Linked DNA regions of Macaca mulatta. The protein of the gene in region 3 interacts with the protein of the main gene of each other region in a pairwise test. Links are inferred from orthologs where the notes say so. Each region holds a gene or a part of one and is shown on either strand. Other genes may lie near its edges. The genes, in order: DACH1, THAP1, C1H1orf35, FXR2, STAC3, SRRM4 and CEP70.

Region 1 (3,500 bases), on a different chromosome or scaffold from region 3:
GAAAATTACTTATTATTTCTTACTTTCCAGCACAATTTTTATATTAAAATAATATTTATTCCAAAGCATGATTTCTATATCCCGATAGTCAGTTTTAACTGATAACATACAAGGTAAAATCAATGCTGAATCATAACATTTGACCAAATCAGATCCCACAGATTTTGGGAATTAAGCCTGCAATAAAAAATTGCATGTACTTTGATAAAGGCAATGTAAAGAGAAGATGTTTACAATGTTTTATAATAATAATCTCTTGATAGCATACATTTGAAAAATTCATCTATTTATAGTTCTTGCATGTTTGACTAGTACCTTAGAATAAGTGTCAAAAAAGTTATGAGAACAGAAATAAGGTGTATAAATTTGTGAATATGAAAAGAACTTTTATATCACAGTGTAGGAGCAAGCTGGAGAAATTTCATTTATGTGAGTCGTTTCTGCATAAAGCTATAAACTTTTTTAAAACCAAAAGCTGTCATGGTTTCTTGTAAAATAATAAAGATAATAAAGATATCCATTTTAATTGATTCTTTTCATTGTTTAATAAAATTGCTTTGTTTGATTGCTGAAGAATTTGAATTGAGTTTTCATTACCCACTTCTGAACAATTTACTCTAAGATCCAGACAGTATTGAGCTAATGAGTTTGAATTTATATTGAACCTTAACTGTCTTCATGAAGTAAATGGGAAAAAATCATGGCAGTAACTAAGTATTCTTCATTAAGAACTATGTCATAGAGATTTTACAATGAGGCTTTTAGCAGAGTTTAAGCATCAAATTGGAGTTTTACCAACTCTGCTGTTTCTATGCATATTATATGAAAATATGGTTTCTTTTTTTAAGAAATAAAAAAGTCATGAGCTAATAGAGATATTACAGAAATTTCCTCTAAGTGGATAGTTTGTATTTTCAACAGATTCAGTTAAGGAATAAATTAATATTGAATTAATTTAATTTGAGAGCACATTGAAATTGAAATGATTTATAAACACCTTCCAAGGAGTATTCTAATAAGGTATTTCGTGAGCTTTTAAAATCCAAGGAATTGCCACCAATGTTGAAATGCAGGTCCTCAGTTGAGTGACATTGACATGGAGACATAAATGTATATTTCTCTTTATTGAAAACAAGTGATGTATTTATTCATACAAATATGCATGCATATTTAATTTTTGCTTTGGCATTATATTCTATAAAGTGATCTTTTGTGTTCTCTGTACAATGTCTAACCAAGCTGGACATTTAATGGCTCCATTTTTAGGATTTGCTGTGTAATGAAGTTAGGCACTTTATTTGATGCCTAGGATGTCATTTACTACAAGGATAACTTTGCATTCTATAAATATTAGTGTGTTTCAATTCCAAGGAGTAATTAATTATCTAGTTAATATAATAGAGACAATTTAATATTAAGCTGGATAGCCAACACAGTATTAGACTCCACCACTAGGTTAAATGTTGCAGAAATACTATTTTTTAAAATTTTGAGATCCTATATAAGAAACAGAAAATCAAAAAGAATGTGCAGCTTAGGGGAAATTTACTTACCTCAGCTTATTTCCCTAGAAATCAGTTTTCCAACTCCAAATGTGATATATTTTTTAAAACGTCATTTTAAATTAGTCGTTTTAAGATTTGGAATAATATTATATCCAAGTAATTTATATTCATTCCCCACAGGCAGCAGTGATGGTTCCTGGGATAAGGAAACACTGCCCTCTTCCCCATCCCAGGGACCTCAGGCCTCTGTAACCCAGCCCCGCTTGCCTGGAGCACGTAGCCTTCCACTTAGTCATCCTCTCAACCATCTTCAGCAGAGCCACCTTCTGCCAAATGGTACGATGGCATTTTTTAGCATTAAAAAATCGTAGTTTTAAAAATTGTAATTATCAGTTGGCAAAATAAGACATAATACAGAGATATACTATATTTACATAACTAATTGGGATAAGTTAAAGAACACCCTAGTATTTTAAGCAAGATTCAGACAGATTACAGGAATAATATAGCAAAGAATTGACCATTTGTATTAAACACAGGAAAAGTTAGGAAATGAAAAACCATGGGACCAAACCAAATAGCTATAAGCCTAGTTTCTCTGAGTAGTGAGTGAAATTTTTGCATACGAAGAGGAAAAATATTTTTTCTTTGACTATCATTATTAGAAAACTTTTGAATGTTTCAATTTTTAATGATTTATGCCCTCCAGAGCAATGATGATATATGTGCATTTTTTATAGGACTGGAACTTCCTTTTATGATGATGCCCCACCCTCTAATTCCTGTCAGCCTACCTCCAGCGTCTGTCACCATGGCAATGAGCCAGATGAACCACCTCAGCACCATTGCAAATATGGCTGCAGCAGCACAAGTTCAGAGTCCCCCATCCAGAGTGGAGACATCAGTTATTAAGGTAATTCTTTTTTTATACAATTATTTTGGCATGTTCATCTTAAGCCACCATCTATTAATCCATTTTTCTTATTCCATAAGTACATTTGAACTCTAAAAAGCTAAGTGATAGTAAATAGATTATTTAAAGAGTAGCAAGTGGCCCCAGGGGCACACTACTTACTTAGGCAGGCTAGGGTTGCTTTAAATTCTCTATATATCTATTAAGATAGAGAAAAACATAGGACATTAAATGTTATAGTTCAAATTGTCTGTGTTCTTACATGGGTAGTTGTGTGTATGTGTGTGTGGTGTTATGAGCATTTATGTGAGGAGAATCAGAAGCCCAGAAGGGATAAATTCTGCCACTTTCTAGCTCTGTCACCTTAGACATGTAATTCAATCTTCCTGATTCTAGTAAATATCTAATAAAGGCATAATCTAGTGTGGATTATTTTGTGAAAACTAAATGAAGTAATAAAATTGGAAGTTTCCACACATTCAAAAATACACTAAATTGAAGGTAACATTATTGTTATATAAACTTCATATGTGCATATATACACAATTCTGTCTCCTCTATCCCTGTGAATCTGTGTGTGTATGTGTGTGAATTGTATGAGTTTATATATATATATATGTATATATAATCTTTTTCCTTTATATTATTTTAAAATGTGTACTTAAATCAAATTATTTTAAGTGCATTGTCTGATTGGCCAAGGAGTAAGAAATAACAAAAAATTAAGAATAGATTATTGATTTTTAAACTAAGTAAAAGATATTTTATGCTTCATGATCATTATTTGACATTACAATTATCCCATTTTTCTGAATACAATACACTTAAATTTTAGGGTAGCCTCTGGAGCACATCTTATGTAAAAGGCCCTGTTACTACTTACATACAATGTTGAGTAATATGCAAATAGGAATTTTTCTCATGTTAAAGGCTCTAAAAACAAAGATATGTCCCAGATGCTTTGAGCAGTTTCTGTAGTATCAATACCAGAGGAAAAATAACCCAAAGTCTCACAGAAGACCCGGATCAACTACTCAAAGATCGCCACCTGAGAGAACGCCAGTGAGTGCCACATTGATCTC
Region 2 (4,240 bases), on a different chromosome or scaffold from region 3:
AAAGATCATGGGGACATGTGCTGTGCTACAAGGGTTTGTGATAAAGGATTAATTACTATATTATGTAAGAATCGATATCTTTATTTATTTATGAGACAGAGTCTTACTCTTGTCGCCCAGGCTGGAGTGCAGTGGTGCAAGCACGGCTCACTGCAACCTCCGCCTTCCCAGATTCAAGCGATTCTCCTGCCTCAGCCTCCAGAGTAGCTGAGATTCGAGGCATGTGCCAACCACACCCGGTTAATTTTTGTATTTTTAGTAGAGACGGGTTTCACCATGTTAGCCAGGCTAGTCTTAAACTCCTGACCTCAAGTGATCCGCCCGCCTCAGCCTTCCAAAGTGCTCGGATTACAGGCGTGAGGCACTGTGCCCAGTCCATTATTATCTTTAAAGCAAAATTAGGAATGCTTCTGTTCTCAAAATATCGAGATATCTGGACACTTCGAAGTCTGGGTCTGTTTAGTAAACATTATCAATCTGTTGCCTTAATGGTATACATCTAGAGGCTAGGAACACCTAACTTTCCGGGAATGCAGCCCAGCAAGTCCCAGCCTCATTTTCCTAGCCCTCACTCAACACAGAGTCGCTCTATTTCGAACCCCTCTGACATATTCTCTCTCAGATGTGAAAACTGCTGCAGCAGCTCCCTATTTGCAACACCGCACATGGAAATCACAGCAATGGACAGCCCTTCACAAAAGCTTCTGGGGAGGGAGGGCCTGGTGGCTCAACTCCCGTAATCCCAACCCACTGGGAGGTCGAGATAGGTGGATCCCTTCAGCTCGAGTTCTAGACTGGCCTGGGCAACGTGGGGAGATCCTGCCTCTATTTTTTTAAAAAATTACATATATATATATACACACACACGTATATATGCATACATATATACATATATATAATGCTTCTGCGTTGGCAATTCAGATGATTTGGCGAGTGTGTCTTTTTTCATTGCTAAAAACCTGTCACGTTGGCTCTCAGAGACTTGTGATGCCTGAAGACACAGGTAATGGGAAAAAGATCAGCATTCTGGGAAAAGGTTCCACAATTTTATTAATCATACACCATCTGTGTCCGCCCTTTTAGAGAAATGGGCGCAATCAGACAACGACCTCGGCTTTACACCTGTTCTCCATGAGGCCCTAGTTGTTTCCTACTGTAAGCCGCCCCAGAAAAGCTCCGCATCAATTAACCCACGGGAACAGCCCGGGCTGGATGATGCCCCTGGAATCCAGCCTCCCGCCGCGCCTCCTCCCCCGCAAGCTGTTCCTTCCTGCCTACCGGAAGTTCAGGGCTCCGCCCACTTCCGCAACTCTGAAGCCACCGCCGGAAACACCTGGCCTCAGCCAATAGTTAGCTTCCCAGGAATCGTTACCTCTGACCTCGGGGCTAATCAGAGACAGTGGGACGCACCCCTCGCGAGAGGTGAGGTTGAAGCTGCCTCCGCCATCTTGGAGATGGGAGACGGGCGATGGCTGTGGTCCTTCTGCTAATGCAAACAACAAAACGGGCACACTAGTCACCCCAGAGGGAGGCCACCATTACTGTAACTGTTGGCCAAAGCTACAAAAGAGCGAGGGTGTCCAACCGAGCGCGGCGACACTGAAAGCAGCTTCCCCTGCCTTCTGCGGCGGCAGAAGTGAAGTGCCTGAAGACCGGAAGGATGGTGCAGTCCTGCTCCGCCTACGGCTGCAAGAACCGCTACGACAAGGACAAGCCCGTTTCTTTCCACAAGTGAGGACCCTGCGCGCCTCGCGGGGCCGGTCTTAGCCAGGGTGGGGGCGCGCGACCGGCGGGGCCGGGGGCGGAGCCAGGCGCGTGTCCGCGCGAGGGGCGGGTGGGGTCTGGGGCCGGCCGCGCGAGGCGTTTCCCGCCGCGTCCTGCTGGGAACCGTCGCCCGATCGCGCGTTCTCGGCGCGCGTCTCCGCGGCGGTTGTTTCTTGCGCTCTCGGAACAGGTCCTCGTTGCAGGCTTCGCTCCAGGCCTCGGTTGACGAGTTTGGAGCCCGCGGGCGATGCCTATGGTGGCGCGGGTTTTGCCGCCACCAGGGTCACGAGCAGCCAGGTGTTGTAATAACGTCTTAGGGGTAAATTTGAAATATAAACAAAGGCCTTTCCCTTGTCGTGGATGGGAGGCCAGCATCGTAGCAATTAAGGGTTTTTTGGCTGGGAAATCCCGGAGAATTTTTGCCCCAAATCTCTAGGAACTAAGCTTTAAGGACCCTGAGTTTTGAAGAAAGCTTCAGGTACTGCCAAGATAAATCGTTATCTTTTCAGCACACAATAATGATAATATGGATAGTTACAACATGGATCATAATAAAATGACTCACACTGATCTTTATTTATTACGGCATTACCTGTGCATAGAGGAAGCTCTTTCGAAAGAAACTGCCCCACAGCTTTCAGAGCTGTCTTATCCAATAGGTAGCACAGTTAAGAGTGCTAGGATCAAAAATATTCTCTTGAAAATAGGAAAAAAAGTGCAAAGTTGCAATTACTTATGATAATCAAACGCTTGTAAAATGTGACATAACATTCAGCTGAATTTGTTTACAAATTTTAATTACATTTATGTTAAGTTTTCTTTGTAAGAATTCCTGACAACTATATGCAGATGATAGCTAAGAAATCAGATCCAGGGGTAAACTATACAAATTAGTCATAGGTAATTAGCTAATTATCTTTTATAATTAGGTAATTACAAAAGCAAAATGTTAAATATCCTTTCAATTTTTTTATTTTGGTGTGGAGCCATCTATGTTTACTAGGGGAGTGTCCATGCATTTTTTAAGTGTTTGATATCATGTGAGATGGACCCTATAGAAATAAGAGAGTGTAGAACATAGGTCTCCAGAGTAATGATGTTACCCCTTGGCGAAGGGGGTAGAACACTTACAGGATTCAGTTCAGGATATCCTAATATTGTCTCTTAATTTAATTGGAATTTCTGTAAACATGTTCTTTCGAAATGTAGGAAAAGGTCAGGTGATGGTAACAGGATTACATGTGCAGCTCCCCACCCACATTTCTGATGGCATGGCAGAAGGAATCTAAAATTATGGAAAATGTTTCACTGGCACTGGAAACAAGTTTAAGGAGGGTATTCACACGTCAGAAATAACTGTGTTTTTGGCCAGGCACAGTGGCTCATGCCTGTAATTCTCAGCACTTAGGGAGGCCTAGGTGGGCAGATCACCTGACGTCAGGATTCAAGACCAGCCTGGCCAACATGGCAAAATCCCGTCTCTACTAAAAATACAAAATACAGGCGTACGCCTGTAATCCTAGCTACCTGGGAGGCTGAGGTAGGGGAATCGCTTGAACCTGGGATATGGAGGTTGCAGTGAGCTGAGATCTTGCCCTGCACTCCAGCTTGGGTAACAGAGCCAGACTCCATGTCAAAAAAAAAAAAAAAAGAGAGAAATAACTGTTTCTGCTAGGTGTTAAACACATACGGATTGAATCAAAAGAAGAGCTAACCTGCATCTTATCCCTTATCTAAAAGAGCAGGTTTAGGGAGAGTAGATGGGAAAGATTTTAACAGAATCTCACAAACAGCTGTAAATTTGTGGTCCTTGTGCCAGGAGGCCCTAGGTACTGACTGAATTTTAGCAGCAAATGCTACCATAGTTTATGCTTACAGAGCCAGGAGGCCATAGGTACGGAATTTTACCAGCAAATGCCACCCTAGTTTATACGTATAGAGGCCATTTCCAGCTGAGATTTTCTTCTTCTCTTTTTGAGATGGAGTCTTGCTCTGTCACCAGGCTGGAGTGCAGTGGCACGATCTCGACTCACTGCAACCTCTGCCTCCCCGGTTCAAGCGATTCGCCTCAGCCTTCTGAGTAGCTGGGACTACAGGCGCGCAACACCACGCCCAGCTAATTTTTTTTTTTTTTTTTTTTTTTTTGAGACGGAGTCTGGCTCTGTCGCCTGGGCTAGAGTGCAGTGGCCGGATCTCAGCTCACTGCAAGCTCCGCCCCCCGGGTTTACGCCATTCTCCTGCCTCAGCCTCCCGAGTAGCTGGGACTACAGGCGCCCGCCGCCTCGCCCGGCTAGTTTTTTGTATTTTTTAGTAGAGACGGGGTTTCACCGTGTTCGCCAGGATGGTCTCGATCTCCTGACCTCGTGATCCGCCCGTCTCGGCCTCCCAAAGTGCTGGGATTACAGTTGTGATTACAGGCCACGCCCAGCCCCAGCTGAGATTTTCTAGGAGTACCACTTATCCCACCGTCTGCATA
Region 3 (4,034 bases):
TTAGCTGGGAGTAGTGGCAGGCGCCTGTAATTCCAGCTACTCAGGAGGTTGACAGGAGAATCGCTTGAACCTGGGAGGCAGAGGTTGCAGTGAGCTGAGATAGTGCCATTACACTCCAGCCTGGGAAACAAAAGCGAAACTAAAAAAAAAAAAAAAATCACCAGGCCTCAGACTCCTGGAAGACAGACCCCAGCTCCAACCTCCCAGTGGGATCTCATTTAACTCGACACTGACCTTCCAATTAGGATGATACACCTTCCTTTTAAAATATATTTATTGAAATACAAAGAGTCAATGTAAGGAAAAATAGAGGTCACCATACTTGGCCACAGTTAGACCGCTCATAGGCCCATGGCTGCTGTCTCTACTGGCAGAGGGAGTCCAGCTTCTACTGGTACCTCTGGGCAGGTTCACCTTCACAGGGCAAGCCAGGGACCATCCCCGCTATGTGAAACCTGGAGGTTTTCCAGAGCTAGCTGTCTAGCCATTAGCCCCACAGGCTGGTGCCCAGAGCCACTTCCACAGGAGCAGCCCCGGGCTTCACCCACACACGAGGGGCTTCCGAGGCAGGAGGCAAGCAAGGCAAAGGGAGAGTTCAGGGTCCCACAATAGCAGTGAGCAGGGTCCAGCCATCAGGCCTCAGAGCCTCTGTCATGCCACCTGCGAGACGGACTTCTCCTGTCCCCACTGTGTCCCCGCTTCCTCCTCTTACAACAGGGGGAGTTGGAATAGGAGTCGTGGTGGTGCCTGGGCCTGGGGAGACCAAGGGCAGTCACTCAGAAGGAGTCAACCAGGCTCCCACCCACAAGAGGCAGACACAGACCAGGGCATACCTCTCGGGAGATGTGGGAGAGGAGGCAGCCTCAGCTGGCTGCCTGTGCTCTTTGTCTTTCTTCTTCTTCTCTTTCTTGTGTTTCTTCTTTTTCTTTTTCTTCTTCTCCTTCTTGCTTTTCCTGTGGCTCTCAGAGCTACAAGGAGGATACAAGGCGCACCTCAGACCCTAGTCTTGCAGGCCAAGAGAGTGAACACAGACCCCAACCAGGAGATGAAGCCACCACCCACAAGTGCGTCTTTAAATCAGTTAAATCAGACTACCAATTCCACTCCTCAGTAATGCAGTCACGTGGCCAGTGGCTGCCCTGGGTTAGAAACTGATGCGATATCCCTATCTCCACAGCACGGCCCTGTTACACCCCAGCTGTGCCCTTGACAGGTTGACACCTTCCTACTTGCACCCACCAGGCCACTCTTGGGGTCAGGCCCAGGCTCACCACCCAAGAGAAGCCCTGGAGGTGCCACCCATGGAAGGAAAAGGCCCCGCCGCAGGTCCTGAGCGCCCTCCCACGGCGCAGCCCGCGACCACTGCCAGTACTTAGGACCTCTCTTCAAGGGTGACCCGAGAAACTCCCCTAGAGAAAAACCTAGGAGTAAGTGGGACAGGAAGTAAAGTAGGGCAGGCCACCGGCCGGGCCGGTGCGCCAAGAGAAGCTGCCACCTGCCGGAGCGGGAGCCGCTGAGGTCCTCCCGAGACCCCCTCCGGCGCGCAGCTCGCCCAGTAGGTGCAGCCTCACCTGCTTTCCGTCTGATCCTCCGCCCGCGGCTTCCTCCTGGCCGAGGTTGCCGAGGTCCCGGGCCCGCCGCTCTCTACGCGGTGATGCTGCGGGAGAATCGCGCTCTGGGGAAGAGTCTGAGGGCCGGCCCCACACCACGCCCCGCAGCGCCCCGGGGAGCTACGTTCAGTGCCCCCGCCCTGCGCCACCCCTGTTGGCCCCTGTTGCGGTCAGGCGGGGCGGGGAATTACCGTGAACACAGACAGCCCCAGTTTGGCGGCTTCCTTGTCCTCTCGGGACATCGCCACGCGGCCCACGGAGCCACTGCAGGAACACGGCGATGAAGACAGTCCGTCAAGGGCCCGCCTCACCCGAGCAATTCTGCCCTCCCCTGGAAACCTGCTCGCACCTGGCGCTCCCCAGCCCCAGCAGCCGGTCCACGCCCTTCTCCTCCGGGTCGCCTCCTTCCCGCTTGCAGACCTCCGCGAAATCCTGCAGGTGCGGGAGCACAGGCAGCGTTCCGGACGGCCCCACACCCACGGCCCTCCACGTGCCCCCCACTCCAGGGAGTTACCTCCTTGCTCAGGCCCGTGGGCTGCTTCTTCACGTTCTTGTAGCCACTGCGAGAGGACCAGAGCAGGCGTCAGGACGGACAGACCTCCTCCCACCACGGGTCCTCACCACTCCAGCCTTCATCCTGAGGGTCCCACCCGCGCAAGTCCCCGCAGCCCCGCCCCCGCCCAGCCCGACCCCCAGCCCCCGCCCCTGGCCCCACCCTGCCCCGGCAGCGAAGTCCCAAGCACCGACCGCTGATGTCCGCGGACACTCACAGGGCGGCCAGCAGCGCCTCCCGCTCCGCCTCCCGCACTGCTGCCAGTTCCTCCTCGCGGCTCGGGCCCGCGCACGGCGCCCGGCCCTTGGCGTACCAGGTGAGGTCGCGGCCCTTCTGCCAGCGGCCTACGGGCGCCATCAGCGAGTTGCCTGCGGACGTAGGCGCCGTGAGCCCAGCGCCCCCCGGGAGGCCGCCCGCCGCGCCCACCGCGCCCACCGCGCCCACGGACCCAGGTAGTTCTCCCGCTGCTTGTCAGTCTTCACGTCCTCCCAGTTGAACTGGTCCTGCCCGCCGCGCACGCCTCCGCGACTGGAACCGAACATGGCGCCCGGGAGGCAGTTCCCTGGGGCCTGCGGCCTGCGACCCGCAACCCCGGACCCTCTGTACCCACTACCGTAGGACCCAGGCCCGACCCCGCCTTCGCGTCGCGCGCCGTGACGTCACCCGGCGCCCACCCGGCTTCGCCCCGCGCGCCTGCGCAGCGCACCGCCCCGGCTCTGTGCTCCCGCGCGTCACCTTCAAGCAGGCTTTGGGCGCCTGCGCACTGCGCCTATCCTGCCCAGCGCGGGAACGCCTCTGAACTGTACGTTTAAAAATGGTTAAAACCGGCCTGGGCGCTGTGGCTCCCGCAGCACTTTGGGAGGCCCAGGCAGGCGGATCGCTTGAGGTCGGGAATTCCAGACTAGCCTAGCCAACATGGTGAAACCCCGTCTCTACTAAAATACAAAAATTAGCCGGGTGTGGTGGTGCACACTTGTAATCCCAGCTACCCAGGAGGCTGAGGCAGGAGAATTACTTGAACCGGGAGGCGGGGTTGCAGTGAGCCGAGATCGCGCCACTGCACTCCAGCCTGGGCGACAGAGCGAGACTCTGTCTCAAAAAAAAAAAAAGTTAAAATGGGCCGGGCGCGCGCTTGCTTGCGCGCCTGTAGTCCCAACGCTTTGAGGCTGAGGCGGGAGGATCTCTTGAGCCCAGGAGATCGCGCCACTGCGCTCCAACCTGAGCGAGTGAACGAGACCCTGTCTCATAAAAAAAGAAAACACACAGGATGCGCCTAGCTAACACCGCCAATTGGTCACTGCCAGCCGCGATTCCATATGGGGAGCTTAACAAGGTAATGCCCTAATGATTTGTGGAATTTCTGAGTATTACCCAGTAAACTTCTGGATGAACCAGCAGCTACCCAGACACCCTCAGAGCACTGGTCCCATCCTTGCCGTGGTAAACTGAATGTGCACCCTAACTCCCACGTGAAATCCCCAACCCAAGGCGTTGGTGCTTCGGAGGTGACTAGGTCATGACGACAGAGCCTTCATAAAAGAGACCCGAGAGCTTTGTGCAGCTTTCCACTGTGCGAAGGCAGCGGGAAGTCTGTAGTCTGGAAGAGACCCCTTCCCAGAACCTCAGCATGATGGGCACCCTGATTTTGGAGGTTGTGGCATCCCCCTGCTTCACCTTTCCACTTTCATTCCCAGTGGTGACCAAGAAGCAGAGTCCCTTAGCCGCTCTGTGACCTCGCCAACGGTATAATTTCGTCTGCAGACTTGAACCTGAGCCATAGCCATGAACGTTCCCAGGCACAGATGACAGCATCTAGGTTGTTGCTCAAAACACAGAAAGAAACTGGACCCAGCCTGAGCCAGATTCCTTAA
Region 4 (3,500 bases), on a different chromosome or scaffold from region 3:
GCGAGACTCCGTCTCAAAAAAAAAAAAAAAAAGAAAAAGACTAGCCTGGCCAACATGGTAAAACCTCGTCTCTGCAAAAATACAAAAATTAGCCAGGCATGATGGCAAGTGCCTGTAATCCCAGCTACTTGGGGGGCTGAGGTGGAAGAATTGCTTGAAACCGAGAGGTGGAGGTTGTAGTAAGCCAAGATTGCACCACTGCACTCCAGCCTGGGCAACAGAGCGAGACTCCATCTGAAAAAAAAAAAAAAAAAAAGCCGGGCACGGTGGCTCAAGCCTGTAATCCCAGCACTTTGGGAGGCCGAGACAGGCGGACCATGAGGTCAGGAGATCGAGACCATCCTGGCTAACACGGTGAAACCCCGTCTCTACTAAAAAGTACAAAAAACTAGCCGGGCGAGGTGGCGGGCGCCTGTAGTCCCAGCTACTCGGGAGGCTGAGGCAGGAGAATCGCTTGAACCCGGGAGGCGGAGCTTGCAGTGAGCTGAGATCCGGCCACCGCACTCCAGCCTGGGCGACAGAGCGAGACTCCATCTCAAAAAAAAAAAAAAAAAAAATCAGCGCACACTGGATTTTAGATGCTGTTACCACAAATGGAAGGCAAATCCCCTGAAACTGGGGATGTCCCTCAGAGTTTGGCTGATCATAACAGTGATGAAAGGGGAACTGTTGCATTTTACATTTCCACAGGCATGTAGCCTATGGAAATGACTTAGTGGCTGGATATGGTTTAGTTGGGGAGGAAGGAATATGAACCAACCAGAGAAAAGCCTAGAATCCTGGGAAAACGTGACATTTAGAAAGGGTGTACTCCACAGCCCTTACCTCCACTTCATCCCCTTCTGTGATCTCCTTATTATAGTCAGCTGGAGGTGGTAGTCGGACATCTCCAAAAGGAATTTGTCTCTCACTCTGCCAGCTGTAAGAGAAACAAGAATATGAAAAAGCTACTCTGACTGATACGGTTGCCCATTTCTTTACAAAAGGGTTATTGCCTCGGCTGGGCGATTCCCACCTATCTGGATAATCAGAGGCTAACCCCCAGGTCCTGCTCCATAGTGGTGCCATCCATCTCTTTCTAGACTCTAAATACTGGGCCAAACGCCCCCGCCCTCACCAAATTCTCAGCCCTTTCCTCTCCTGGGATCCATGTAAGTTCCCCACCCAAACCCTCAGGTCTCCCCACCTATTACATGCCTCATAGGACTCAGCCGCCCCCTCTTCTCCACTCTCCTTCTAGGACCTAGTATGCTGGATTCTCTATTCCCAAGGTCTTACTTGTTTTCAAAGAAGATGGTGACAGAGTCTTCATGGACATCCTTCACAAAGCCCTAGAATGGATTTTAGAAAAAAGTAAAAAATATAAAATGACCTTTTACTTCCACCTTAGCCACCAAGGGAATAGAGACACCACAAACCCTTAAACTTGAGTTTTAGATAGGGACACAAGTGGTGTAATGAGAGAGCCTGAAAGGCTGCACTGGGGAAAGAATATGGGCAGTCAGACAGAGAAAGGAAATTATATTGTCATGGAGAGGTGTATGTACCACCTGCATCAGAACAGCCTGGAAACCGGTGATCTACTCAGGCTCCCACAGGGGCCTCCCTATCTGTCTGCCTCCTGTTGTGCTGAGCAGCCTGCCAGAGTTCAATTAAAATACCAACAACATTCAGCAAGGCTAAGAATATCCCATGAGACAGTGTGAGGCTGTCCTGGAACACCTAGAGGACATGAGGATCTGTCAAGAGAGAGAAAGGCCTACCTCCGCAATACAGCAAGAGATCTGAGCAGACTCGCTGCCCTGATGCATGGGTCCTAAGACAATAATCAGAACACTAGACAAGTTCAAAATTGTGATGAACACAATTTACAGAAGGAAAAATTAAGACTTAAAATACATCAGAGTTTTTTAATACTAGAATTGAATCTAGAATGACACTGAAAATTTATAAAGGATAACAAAATGTATGGAAGACTCCAAACTTGATATTATGACAAGAGGAACAGGGACGACTGAACAGCTGATCCATCTCCTGTGGTCTATGTCCTCACTAAGGAGGCCAAAGCCATGAGTTCACCCCTGCGCTCCCAATTTTTCTACCTTCCCCCTATTTGTCACATACAATTAGGGATTTCTAATTTTGAAAAAGGTCTAGCTTATGAATTTATTATTTTATCAACTGTGCTTTTGGTTTCATATCTAAGAAATCTTTGCCCAGGCCAGGCACAGTGGCTCACACCTGTAATCCCAGCACTTTGGGAGACAAGGCAGGCCGATCATCTGAGGTCAGGAGTTCGAGACCAGCCTGGCCAACATGGTGAAACCCCATCTCTACTAAAAATATAAAACTTAGCCAGGCATGGTAGTGCATGCCTGTAATCCCAGCTACTTGGGAGGCTGAGGAAAGAGAATCACCTGAACCTGAGAGTCAGAGGTTGCAGTGAGCCAAGATCGTGCTATTGCACTCCAGGCTGGGCGACAAGAGCAAAACTCCATCTCAAAAAAAAGAAAAAAGAAATCTTTGCCTAATCCAAGGCCACAAAGGTTTTCCCTTATGTCTTCTTAAACTTTTAGTTTTTTGTTTTACATTTACATCTATACTCCTTTATTTTTAGACAGAGTCTCACTCTGTCACCCAGGCTAGAGTGCAATGGCACAATCTCTTGGCCCACTGCAACATCCACCCCCTGGGTTCAAGCAATTCTCCTGCCTCAGCCTCTCGAGTAGCTAAGGTTACAGGCAACCGCCACCATACCAGGCTAATTTTTCATATTTTTAGTAGATATGGGGTTTTACCATGTTGGCCAGGCTCGTCGCGAACTCCTGACCTCAGTTGATCCACCCGCCTCGGCCTCCCAAAGCTGGGATTACAGATGTGAGCCACTGTGCCTAGCCCTATAATCCATTTTGAATTAAGTTTTACATATAAAGTGAGGTATTGATCAACGTTTTTTAAATTTTTTAATTTTTATTTATTTTTTTTGAGACAGAGTTTTGCTCTTGTTGCCCAGGCTGGAGTGCAATGGTGCAATTTTGGCTCACCGCAACCTCCGCCTCCCAGGTTCAAGCAATTCTGCCTCAGCCTCCCAAGTAGCTGGGATTACAGGCATGTGCCACCATGCTCAGCTAATTTTGTATTTTTAGTAGAGACAGGGTTTCTCCATGTTGGTCAGACTGGTCTCAAACTCCCGACCTGATCCACCCGCCTCAGCCTCCCAAAGTGCTGGGATTACAGGTATGAACCATTGTGCCTGGCCTCTTTTTTTAAAACATATTTTTATTTATTTATTTTTTTTTTTTTTTGAGACGGAGTCTCGCTGTATCGCCCAGGCTGGAGTGCAGTGCCCGGATTTCAGCTCACTGCAAGTTCCGCCTCCCGGGTTTACGCCACTCTCCTGCCTCCCCCTCCCAAATAGCTGGGACTACAGGCGTCCGCCACCTTGCCCGGCTAGTTTTTTGTCCCGGCTAGTTTTTTGTACTTTTTAGTAGAGATGGGGT
Region 5 (2,928 bases), on a different chromosome or scaffold from region 3:
TCCCCACTCTACAGCAACCAGCAGTACGCTTGTATCAAAGATCTCTGTAAGTGCCCTTTATGGAACATGAGGGAATGGGCAAGCCTAGAGATGGTTTCATGCCATCTCTAGCTTTGGAAGCCAAATTCTGAAACAGAAACTTTCTATTTCCCATAATTCTCCCTCAACCTAACATTTTTATATCCATTTGGATGCAGAGGCAATATCCCCATTTTACAGCAGAGGGAGATAAGATTTAGTTGCAACTACATACGGTTAGCAAGAGGTAGCGCCAAGACTGGAATCTTCAGTTGCTAGCTTCAGAATCTGTGCTCTTCATGTGCAAAATCATTTCTAAGCAAGAACAAGGATTCTAGATTGTCCTCATCCTTACTACAGAGTCATACCAGACTTGGGGCAAGACCTAAAGGCTGCAGGCACCCTGGGCATGTTCATAATTTGGCAACCCTTAAAAGTATATTCATTGACAAATTTGCTCAACATTTATTTGGAGCAGAGGCTGAACTCTGTGAAGAGCATGGGTGAAAAAGAAGAACCTATTGGTGGCAGCACCTCAGCTTACACATGCCATTCAGCAGAACAAAAACCAGAAGTTAAGGGCCCATTCTCCTTAGAAGGAGAATAGTGATTCTGAGCATGTCTCAACTCCCAAGCAACCAAAGTTGTCTTTCAAACGTCATATAATGCTCTGCCTGGAAGGAGTTCTGATAAATACTTTTCTCCCTCACATTACATCACCAGTGATGTTTTTAGAGTCCTTTCTAGATCGGTGTCCTAGGTATTGCTCAGCTGACCCTTCCCTAATCTTCCCCCACGGCGCCCCCACTGCCACCCAGCACACACATGGGTATCCATCTACTCGATCCTGCCTTTCGCTTCCTTTCCTCCAAGCCTTTCTCTGCCTCCCCAATAATGTCTTCTTTCTCCTCCAATTTGATTAGCTGCTGCCAATCGCAATGACCCTGTGTTTGAAACCCTGCGCACTGGGGTGATCATGGCAAACAAGGAACGGAAGAAGGGACAGGCAGATAAAAAAAATGTGAGCACTGTACCTCCCCACGAGGTCCCTCCCAGAGATCCCATGGAGCAGGTCATTTTCCCATTTGGGAAGCTGACAGAAGTAATGGATTATCTTCCCCTAAAATTGCACATAACCCGACCAGGCATGGTGGCTCATGCCTGTAATCCCAGCACTTTGGAAGGCCAGGGCGGGTGTATCATGAAGCCAGGAGATCAAGACCATCCTGGCCAACATGGTGAAACCTCGTCTTTACTAAAAATACAAAAATTAGCCAGGCATGGTTGTGTGTAATCCCAGCTACTCGGGAGGCTGAGGCAAGAGAATCACTTGAACCCAGGAGGCGGAGGTTGCAGTGAGCTGAAATCACACCACTGCACTCTAGCCTGGGTGACAGAGCAAGACTCCATCTCAAAAAAAAAAAAAAAAAAAAAAAGGCCGGGTGAGGTGGCTCACGCCTGTAATCCCAGCACTTTGGGAGGCCAAGGCGGGTGGATTACCTGAGGTCAGGAGTTTGAGACCAGCCTGGCCAACATGGTGAAACCCCGTCTCTACTAAAAATACAAAAATTAGCCAGGTGTGGTAGCACACGCCTGTAATCCCAGCTACTTGGGAGGCTGAGGCAGGAGAATTGCTTGAGCCCAGGAGGCGGAGGTTGCAGTGAGCCGAGATTGTGCCACTGCACTCCAGCCTAGCCGACAGAGTGAGATTCTGTCTCAAAAAAAAAAAAAAAGAAAAGAAAAAGAAAAAAAAATTGCACATAACCCAACAGAAATATTTTTGCATGCAATTTTAGGGGGTTTTGGGACCTACTGCAGCTCACTCACCATGGGCCTCTGGTTAAGAACTCTAGCCATAGATTACGTTTTCTCAGCTTCCTTCTGAAATAGTCAGATTAGCCACTACAACCACATGAAGGCTAGGCCCAAAGTCTTTGGCATTGCTGGGTGACAGAGGCAAGAGCTGTGCTTTTGGATGTAGGAAAGAGAACTTGTCATGCCAAGTAACTGGAGAATTCTAGAGCCATGCAAGGATCCATGAAGATCATCTGGTCTGACCCATTCATTTTACAGATGATGAAACTGAGGCACAAAGCTACTGGCCAAGATAAACCTCATTTCCTTTTGTAACAGGGTTTCTAGGTTAGTAATGCCATAGATTTGCATTCAGTTCAGCATGGAATTTGTTAGAATATTCTTATATCTTTCTGGACAACCAGGGTTGGACCAGTATGGATGATGGTTACAGTTAGATGGACTCCTAAAATTGGTTGAGTGGCAGTACTCAGAGTCCAGGTCCTTTCAGTATTATACAGCTAGAGGGAGATTTCTGGTGCGTTATAACATGATTTAGATATAATGAAGATACAAATTGTATGTTCATGCCGGGTGCGGTGGCTCACGCCTGTAATCCCAGCACTTTGGGACGCCAAGGTGGGCAGATTACTTGAGGTCAGGAGTTCGAAACCTGCCTGGCCAACATGGTGAAACCCTGTCTCTACTGAAAACACACACACACACACACACACACACTATATATATATATATATATATATATATATATATATATATATATCCAGGGCGTGGTGGCACTCACTTGTAATCCCAGCTACTTGGGAGGCTGAGGCAGGAGAATCGCTTGAACCCGGGAGGCAGAGGTTGCAGTGAGCCACTGCACTTCACACTTCAGCCTGAGGGAGAAAGCAAGACCTTGTCTCAAAAAAAAAAAAAGAAAGAAAGAAAAGAAAAGATAAATGTACATATTTGTTCTTGATCAAAAAATCACCTGCAAAAAACAGAACTAGAAATCTGGCCTCAGACTTGTTGATATGGAGGTTGGGCACAGATAAGGGATTTCTATGGAGTGAATTCTGACTTACAAGGCACTAGCAGTGTGATTTGGCTGCTTCC
Region 6 (4,012 bases), on a different chromosome or scaffold from region 3:
ACCCTTAAGTAAGTGTGGAATGTTGAAAAGGAAGTGGAAATTGAATGTCACTGGATGTGGCTGCCTTGGGTGAGAATGGGGATGATTCAGGTTTTATCTGGTCTGTTAAAAGACAACTCCAATCCAACCTTTCCTGAGGACTTGGAAACAAATGTTCCCTCCTCACTCTCTACCCCAAACCGGGAGTAACAGTTATAAAACTGGAATCTGTTCTACAGAGAGGCCACGCCTATTACAGAAGTATTACACAGGATTCTCCTAGCATGACATAAATCGAGGGCTTATGGCTCAGGCTTTCACCCCAGGGGTGGTTTCTACGGCAAAGAAGACCCACGACATGAAAAGGCACCAAGAGTGAAATGATACTGGTTGCAGAGGGGGAGTGGAGTATTATAAAAGTCTCAAAAGGATTACATTAGAATTAGCAAAAAGCTGCAGAAAGCGTGAGGGTTGAAAGACCTTGTGCACCATTCATGTGATTGCAAATATGACCAAGAAAAGGGCAGGAAAGTAACAGACAGACAGACAAAAGTGGAAAGTACCAAGCAAGGTGGACATTAGGTGTGCTTTCTTGAATCAAAACACCACCAGGAATCCGCTTTCCTCTCCCCGTACCCCTAAAATAGATGGAAGACTCTGGACTAAATGTCATACTTCTAGTTTCCAGTGAAATTTCCTCTAGTTCCTTCTACAAGGGCATTTTCTTTGGCCAGTGCAGCACCTGATTAGCCAACAGTAGGTACATTCCAAAGGTGGAATAGATAGCAGAAACCCAGGAAGATAAAACCACTGACGTCAAAACTCTATACAAAGAACCTTCTTTGAAGCAGCGAAGCATCAGCTTTTAACGGCATTTGGTATTGTTGTTCCCCTTCTCCAGCCTGTGTCGGTGGGTGGGTGTGTGTCCCCTTCTTCCCATCTGCAAACACTGGCTGGTGCTGCTTCAGCTTGCAGCCTGCTACACGCTACTGGCCTGTTGTGTTGCTTGTCCACCCATTCCTAAAATGGGATACCCATTTCTCTAAAGACCTGTGTGATCCTCTACAAGACGGTGAAGAGGAAAACTTCTCCAGTCTGGCTTTGATTCTTCAGGCGTAATTCCCCATACATCTTCCACCTTACACCCACTGGAAAGTTCAGAATCAGTTGTGCCAGAACAGACGTTCAGTCTGTCCGAATCACTTTTGCAGACATGTTTTCAATCTGCTCCCTAATGCAGACTGCCAGGATTAATAAATCTTCCAAGTGGTCCCCCTGGTCAACTTCTTTCCTTTCTCCCACTAAACCACTCATCCAACACCAGCAAAAGATGAGTTTTCATACTGCCTTGATTTTCCCTGACAGAAGGCACAGCCTTCTTCCTTTCATTCTCAAACTCCTCTAAATTGAATGATTTATGAAAAGAATTGGATTTTTCTCTGTCTTGGAATGCTTCTATTTTCCCCCAACCTCCTCTCCCTCTCACCCCACCTCCTGTTCCCCTCTTTCTTTCATTTTTTCCCTTATTCTTCCTTCCATCAGCACCATGTCTACCACCATCCAAGGATCTGTTCTCATCCCTGAGTTCAAAGCAATCAGATTCTTTTTGGAAAAAAAACAAAAAAGAAAAACAAAATAAAACTCTTCCAAGATCATCTTCACGATCTTGGAAGGCTCCTCCCTGACTCCTGAGCTCAGAGTCTTGGTTTTGGATGCTGGAGAGGAGAGAATTCAGCAGCAGCGGCAGCAGCCGCCAGAAAGGCGTGGAGGAGGGTGCTGTTTTGGGTGTATTTGAGGCAACAGCATATGGGCTTTTGTCAAAAATGTTCAAAGCTCGCTAGCTTCCGAGCCGAGGATGGAAATGTGTGCTATCTCTGAACGCTGCTTGAGCTGGCTTAATTCTCCTTTTCTGGTACAACACCCCCCAAACTCCTCAAATCCACCATTCTTTGGCCCACCTGCCCTCTGGACTCTGTGACACCAAGAAAAGTTTTTCAGTCAAGTCATACCCCACCTGCACCGTCCACCCTCAGGTAGCAAAACCTCTTGAATAGGAGCTACGGGGTTCCGCTGAGCGTTGCCCCCCCCCCCACAAAGAATTCCTGTCCCTTCTCACCATCTTCCACCTCACACAAGCAATGAGTTCCCATGTTTCAGCGGGAGCCGCCGAGTAGTGACGGGAAAAGACAGGCGCCCTGGCCCGACTGCCTGCATCCACCCCTCCGGGCTATAGGGCACAGGCCAGAAAGGGGGACCTTCGGGATCCCCCCCTTTTAAGAAGGAGATCATTACCTTGGCAGCGGCTTGCGGGCCGTGATACTGGCGACAATGATGCTCTCGGGACGGGGGGTGGCCACCGCTTTGAAGGTTCCTCGCCAGAACTTCTCAAAAAGCTGCTTCTCGCCTTGCTGAACGCTCGCCATCGCCAACCCAAAGAGGCCGGGGCGCCCGGGGCGCTGTCCGAAGTGCTGAAACGTGGATTCCAAACAGGGGCGACACCCAGCTCCGGGCTCTGTCCGGGTGAAACCCAGAGAGGGGTGGGGTGGGAGAGATCGGAGTTCAGGGCGGGGGATGGGACGCCCCAGTCCGAGCAGGCAGCAGAGAAAGGAGGCTCGTCCGCCGGGTTTTCTTCGCCCTTCTGGGTCGGCTCCTGGCTGCGCTCTGAGCTGGCTGAGCCTCTGCGCCCCAAGAAGGGAAGGGAGGGCTGGCTTTCTGGGCAGCGCCAGGAGAGAAGAGGCGACGGGGTCGGATGTGTGTGCGTGCGCGTGTGAGCTCCGGCGCGCCCGGGTTTTGTCTCTCGCACAATGTGACGTTGGAAGAGGAGGCTGGTCGCGCGAGCTGCACTTTCCTCCCCTCTCTCCGTTTCTCCTCCTCCCCACCAACCCCCTCCTCCTCAGGCTCAGCCTCCTGCCGCCATCTGCATAACAAAAGCCCGCAGGTCTTGGGAGGAGAAAGGGCGGGGCGTGCGCCTGTCACCAGGGCCCCGCAGCGACCGAGTTGCAGCGCTGACCACTGTGAGAAGCCATCCTGGCACCCCAATCTGCGCCAGGCAGGAGATCCTGCTTCCCAGGCCCCTCTCCTCTTCCATCATCGCCGGCCTTCCTCAGTCCTTTCTTGGGTGCCCTTGGGGCCAGGCCACCTTTCTTCCCAGCCCCTTCACAAGTCTTGTAGCTGATCTTCTGCCGGGGTGGGGGAGGGGCGGGGGGAAGGGGGTAAAAAACTTAATTTATCCACCCCGGCCGGCCTCCACCGGACCCTCGCTTTTGGCAGAGACGGCCTAGGCCGGTACAGAGGGTCCCCTGCGTTCCTCTTTGAGCCAGGGGTTAGCAAGGTCTTCACCACCCAGAAAGTGCCATTTGATCGACAATCCCTCACCAGTTCGGCTTCTCGCCATCTGCCGAGCCGGGCCCCCGCCCGCCAAGGGGCGCAGCGTTACATCTGTGCATGCGGAGCTGTCAAGGGTACCTCTTTTGTGTTTCACAGCCGGCCTGCCCAGCGCCCCCGCCGCCAACCCCGTCCAAAGGAAAGAGTTCCCCTCCCACCCCACCCCACCCCACCCCACCCCACCCCCATCCACTCCTGGGGAATCCGCCTGCAGCCACTTTTCCTAATGCCGCTAGTCTCGGGAAAGGAGCATGTTTTGGAAAAGAAAGCGCTTAATGGGAGGGTTGGAGAGGAAAATCTCGAGGATTAGCAAGGGGAGAGTTACTTTTCGTTCTCTCCTCCCCATCTTCTTACCGCCTCGCAGTTCAATCGTAATCCCAAGCAAGTGGAGGTTTAGAATCCCAGATCAACCCCAGACACACAGGATCTGGTTAGAATGACTCTTGCTTCCCCCCCAGGGTTTTCATTATAAAAAAAGATATCGTGGCGGGACCCCTCAGCCCTTGCCTTCCTGGAAGGCTTTTAATCTTAGCAGAGTTGCTACTCCCCCATCTCCCACCTAACGCCGCCCCACCCCGGCTTCCACTTTCCAGGTTGTCAATTCCTGGAAGGAGGCCTCAATCAGTCTTAAAGGCCTTCAAGCCCCTGG
Region 7 (3,500 bases), on a different chromosome or scaffold from region 3:
TCAACCTGGGATTACAGGCATGAGCCACCATACTAAGCCTGGGGATTACTGTTAATTTCCTTAAATAGTCTGATAACGGTCTTGTGGGTTTGTAGGAGAATATGCCTACTTTTAAAAGATGCACGCTTTATTATTTCAGGGTGCAGAGTTTCTTCAAATGGTTCACCTCAAAATATAGATAGCAAATATGGCACAATACTAACAATTGTTGAACCTAGGTAGTGATTATATGGGTGTTTGTATTAGTTAATTTTGTTTCAACTTTACTGTGGCATAGGATGCCCAATATTTGGTTAAACATTATTCTGGATGTGTGTCTGGGAAGATGCTTCTGGATGAGATTGACATCTGAATCAGTAGACTTAGTGAAGCAAACTGCCTTTCCTAATGGGGTAGGCCTCATCCAATCATTTGAAGGCCTGAGTAGAACAAAAGGCTGAATAAGAGGGAACTCCTCCCCGCTGACTGCTTTCAAGATGGGACACTTTTTTTTCCTGCCTTCAGACTCAAACTGAAACATTCGCACTTGCAGGGGTCTCAGTCTGCCTGTGTTTGGACTGCAAATATCCATTAGCTTTTCTGGGTCTTCACTTACTCTCTGCAAATCTTGAGACTTGTCAGTCTTCATAATTGCATGAACCAATTCCTTGTGATAATTCTTTGTATATTTAATGAAATGCATGTATATAATATATATAGACATAAAGCACTCCTTTAAAATATATAACTTTGTAGGCATAGGATAAATATTTTGACTAAATACACTATGTTTTTTTTAAAGGTGCTATGTAGCATCAATTCAATTATCCACAATCCAAGAGCTCCAGTAATAATTTATAAACAGAGCAAAGGGGGAGCCCAAAATTTTAATAAAGATCTTATTCAAGATTGTGGATTTGAGCATCTTGTTCCTATAATAGAAATGTGGGCAGATCAACTGACATCCTTAAAGGTAAGGGGTTGACTATTCTTTATATGCTTTGAACATCTATTGGACTCTATGTGCTTTATTTATAGGACTTAATTTAGGGCTAGAAATTAAATAGGGTTTAATTTTTTGTTTGTTAACTGTAAAGCTAAAAAAACTTATCTAAAACTGAAATCTTCCTACTTACATATCTATTTTACGTACTGTTTTGATGTTGTCATTACTGTAAGCTTTACTTCCTCTAAGGCTCTACCAAACAAGAAATTTTTGGGTTAATTTCCTTATTGAAAATCTATAGTGGATCCACTTTGTACTTCCAGGCTTTTCCCTGTTCTACCTTCATCTGCCTCCTTTTGGTATGTCCATGCTACGATTTTCCTGGCCCTTATTCCTCTTCAGATATAATGTCTTATCCTTCATTTCGTTATAATTGGGGATATTTTCTCTCTCTTCACACTTTATTTTCTGTCTCTCAGAACTGAGCTTGTCTCCATTTCTGCTTATTCTCTAGAACAGATAGTAAGCTAGCAGCCAACCCTACCCTTCCCTATCCTATCTATTCATGGAAGACTACATTTTATTTACTTTATAGAGTTATTGTGTATTGCATGGTTTCAGGTTTTTTCAGTTTTAACTAGTTTGCTGAAAGGTAAATAGTTGAAATCAGTAGTATTTAACTTCTTTGCCCTTTAAACTTTAGATTTCTTAGTAACTAATATAATACATAGCATACGCCTGTTAATGAAAATGTGATTCAATAATAGTGTTTGCAACAGAAGTCTTATTACATGAAGTACAAGTGATGCAGAAGATATCTGTTAAGAATGTATAAGCTCCCCGAAGACAGTGTTTTTATTTGTTCTGATATGTCCCCAAGATCCTCCTGATGAACGAGTGCTCAATTAATATTTGTTAAAGGAATGAAGCAGAATAATATATCCCAAGACAACAAAATTGGGGGTGGTGATGTTAATTTTTTTAAAATTTCTACTTGCCTTTTTATATAGGGCTCAGACAGAGCTACATAATACACAAACATTTTGATTGAGTGACAGTGCTGGATTAATATACTTACTTTATAGGCCGGAGTTCCTCCAGTCTGTATCTCAGAAGAGTGTAAAATAATTAGTAATCATGTAAATCATGGTATTTCCTCAATCATTGCCTGTCAGAGGGTTCTCCCAGTAGGAGGGAACAGTGCTGACTCCACCTTTCTCCTTCTCAGAAGGGAAGGACTAGAAAAAGCCCTAACCTTCCTAGAAGAAAAGACTAGAAGAGGAAGAAGACAAAGGGAAGAATCACATTAATGGATAATTATTGATCATTTATCATGCTAAGCCATTATGGGATGAACACAAGATTCACACTAATTAGAGAGACAAAATATACTTAAAAATATGAAACATTTATCATGCTAAGCCATTATGGGATGAACACAAGATTCACACTAATTAGAGAGACAAAATATACTTAAAAATATGAAACAAAATGTAATCATTTATGATACCATTAAAAGAAATGAGTGACATAAAAATAGATTACCTGTGATGAAGTTCTGAGTGAATGATGCAGATAACTTGTGCTCTAGAGTCTGGAGGAGAAAGAGAACACTCTGATTATAGCCCCCAAGAAAGGCTTTGCCGTGGTGGTGAGTTCTTGCTATTGTATAGTTTTCTGAGTAGGAGGAGGCAAGGAATTCACTTTATAATTAGAATATTCTGAGGACACCCAAGAGGAAATTATTAAGAATTAGTTACTTCTGCCTTTGGAGTAACTCATGGGTTTTGAGCAGTGCTTCAGATATTAATACTACAGTTTCAGGGTCCAAATTAAGAAACTGCATGAGATTCTCTGAGGCCTCATATTAAAGGTTATTTGATATGTAACAACCTCTAAGTTTGGGACAACCATCTTCCCTTATTAGTTTTTTCGCTCAGTTTAATTTGGCTTTAAAGAGTAGGATAGGTTTGAGGAATGAGTGGATAAGCAAAATGTGGTATATACATATATTGCAATATTATTCAGCCATTAAAAGAAAAGAAATTCTGACCCATGCAACATGGGTGAACATTAGGAGGACATTATGCTAAGTGAAATAAGTCACAAGAAGATTCCACTTATATAATTCCACTTATATGAGATACTTAGTGAAAATCATAGAGACAAAGTAGAGTGGTGATTGCTAGAGGGAGGAGGGAAATGGGAAGTTATTGTTTAATGGGTATAAAGTTTCAGTGTTACAAGATGAAAAGAGTTATGGAGATGGATGGTGGTGTTGGTTGCACAACATTATGAACATATTTAATAACACTGAACTTACATTTAAAAATGGTTAAGATGGTAAATTTTATGTGTATTTTACTAGTTTTAAAAATTGGAAGAAAAGAAGGCTGGGAAAGACATGGAGCCAGCCGCCTCCATCCTTGTGTCTTTTCCCTCCTGCCTTTCCAAGAAAGGTAAACTACAGATGTTGTAGCTTTCCCCAACCCAGTACACTCTTGAATACTTTCGCTTTCCTATTCTCTAGTGCTTCAGAGGCCAGACATACACGGTAGGCTGGCCCATGGTAGTA

The links.
Region 1: the proteins of C1H1orf35 (region 3) and DACH1 interact in binary tests that used the Homo sapiens proteins (3 or more experiments, as listed by UniProt). The two-hybrid records come from large-scale screens. The link is inferred for Macaca mulatta from reciprocal best matches to the Homo sapiens genes C1orf35 and DACH1.
Region 2: the proteins of C1H1orf35 (region 3) and THAP1 interact in binary tests that used the Homo sapiens proteins (3 or more experiments, as listed by UniProt). The two-hybrid records come from large-scale screens. The link is inferred for Macaca mulatta from reciprocal best matches to the Homo sapiens genes C1orf35 and THAP1.
Region 4: the proteins of C1H1orf35 (region 3) and FXR2 interact in binary tests that used the Homo sapiens proteins (3 or more experiments, as listed by UniProt). The two-hybrid records come from large-scale screens. The link is inferred for Macaca mulatta from reciprocal best matches to the Homo sapiens genes C1orf35 and FXR2.
Region 5: the proteins of C1H1orf35 (region 3) and STAC3 interact in binary tests that used the Homo sapiens proteins (3 or more experiments, as listed by UniProt). The two-hybrid records come from large-scale screens. The link is inferred for Macaca mulatta from reciprocal best matches to the Homo sapiens genes C1orf35 and STAC3.
Region 6: the proteins of C1H1orf35 (region 3) and SRRM4 interact in binary tests that used the Homo sapiens proteins (3 or more experiments, as listed by UniProt). The link is inferred for Macaca mulatta from reciprocal best matches to the Homo sapiens genes C1orf35 and SRRM4.
Region 7: the proteins of C1H1orf35 (region 3) and CEP70 interact in binary tests that used the Homo sapiens proteins (3 or more experiments, as listed by UniProt). The two-hybrid records come from large-scale screens. The link is inferred for Macaca mulatta from reciprocal best matches to the Homo sapiens genes C1orf35 and CEP70.

What each region holds. Positions count from the first base shown.
Region 1 is NC_133422.1:66,324,247-66,327,746, reverse strand, and holds part of DACH1 (dachshund homolog 1), read left to right. Parts: intron 1-1,685; coding exon 1,686-1,841; intron 1,842-2,245; coding exon 2,246-2,418; intron 2,419-3,500. UniProt on the Homo sapiens protein: Transcription factor that is involved in regulation of organogenesis. Seems to be a regulator of SIX1, SIX6 and probably SIX5.
Region 2 is NC_133413.1:44,941,713-44,945,952, reverse strand, and holds the start of THAP1 (THAP domain-containing protein 1), read left to right. Parts: upstream 1-1,440; 5' UTR 1,441-1,660; coding exon 1,661-1,731; intron 1,732-1,857; exon of another isoform or gene 1,858-2,011; coding exon of another isoform or gene 2,012-2,061; intron 2,062-4,240. UniProt on the Homo sapiens protein: DNA-binding transcription regulator that regulates endothelial cell proliferation and G1/S cell-cycle progression.
Region 3 is NC_133406.1:85,852,808-85,856,841, forward strand, and holds C1H1orf35 (multiple myeloma tumor-associated protein 2), read right to left. Parts: upstream 2,801-4,034; 5' UTR 2,706-2,800; coding exon 2,612-2,705; intron 2,532-2,611; coding exon 2,381-2,531; intron 2,171-2,380; coding exon 2,125-2,170; intron 2,043-2,124; coding exon 1,960-2,042; intron 1,875-1,959; coding exon 1,802-1,874; intron 1,658-1,801; coding exon 1,572-1,657; intron 969-1,571; coding exon 834-968; intron 754-833; coding exon 633-753; 3' UTR 313-632; downstream 1-312.
Region 4 is NC_133421.1:9,095,700-9,099,199, forward strand, and holds part of FXR2 (RNA-binding protein FXR2), read right to left. Parts: intron 1,634-3,500; exon of another isoform or gene 1,557-1,633; coding exon of another isoform or gene 1,551-1,556; intron 1,332-1,550; coding exon 1,279-1,331; intron 920-1,278; coding exon 826-919; intron 1-825. UniProt on the Homo sapiens protein: mRNA-binding protein that acts as a regulator of mRNAs translation and/or stability, and which is required for adult hippocampal neurogenesis. Specifically binds to AU-rich elements (AREs) in the 3'-UTR of target mRNAs.
Region 5 is NC_133416.1:64,405,861-64,408,788, reverse strand, and holds part of STAC3 (SH3 and cysteine-rich domain-containing protein 3), read left to right. Parts: coding exon 1-46; intron 47-941; coding exon 942-1,039; intron 1,040-2,928. UniProt on the Homo sapiens protein: Required for normal excitation-contraction coupling in skeletal muscle and for normal muscle contraction in response to membrane depolarization. Required for normal Ca(2+) release from the sarcplasmic reticulum, which ultimately leads to muscle contraction.
Region 6 is NC_133416.1:126,266,866-126,270,877, reverse strand, and holds the start of SRRM4 (serine/arginine repetitive matrix protein 4), read right to left. Parts: upstream 2,801-4,012; 5' UTR 2,403-2,800; coding exon 2,272-2,402; intron 1-2,271. UniProt on the Homo sapiens protein: Splicing factor specifically required for neural cell differentiation.
Region 7 is NC_133407.1:41,506,304-41,509,803, reverse strand, and holds part of CEP70 (centrosomal protein of 70 kDa), read left to right. Parts: intron 1-781; coding exon 782-952; intron 953-2,003; exon of another isoform or gene 2,004-2,197; intron 2,198-2,470; exon of another isoform or gene 2,471-2,587; intron 2,588-3,500.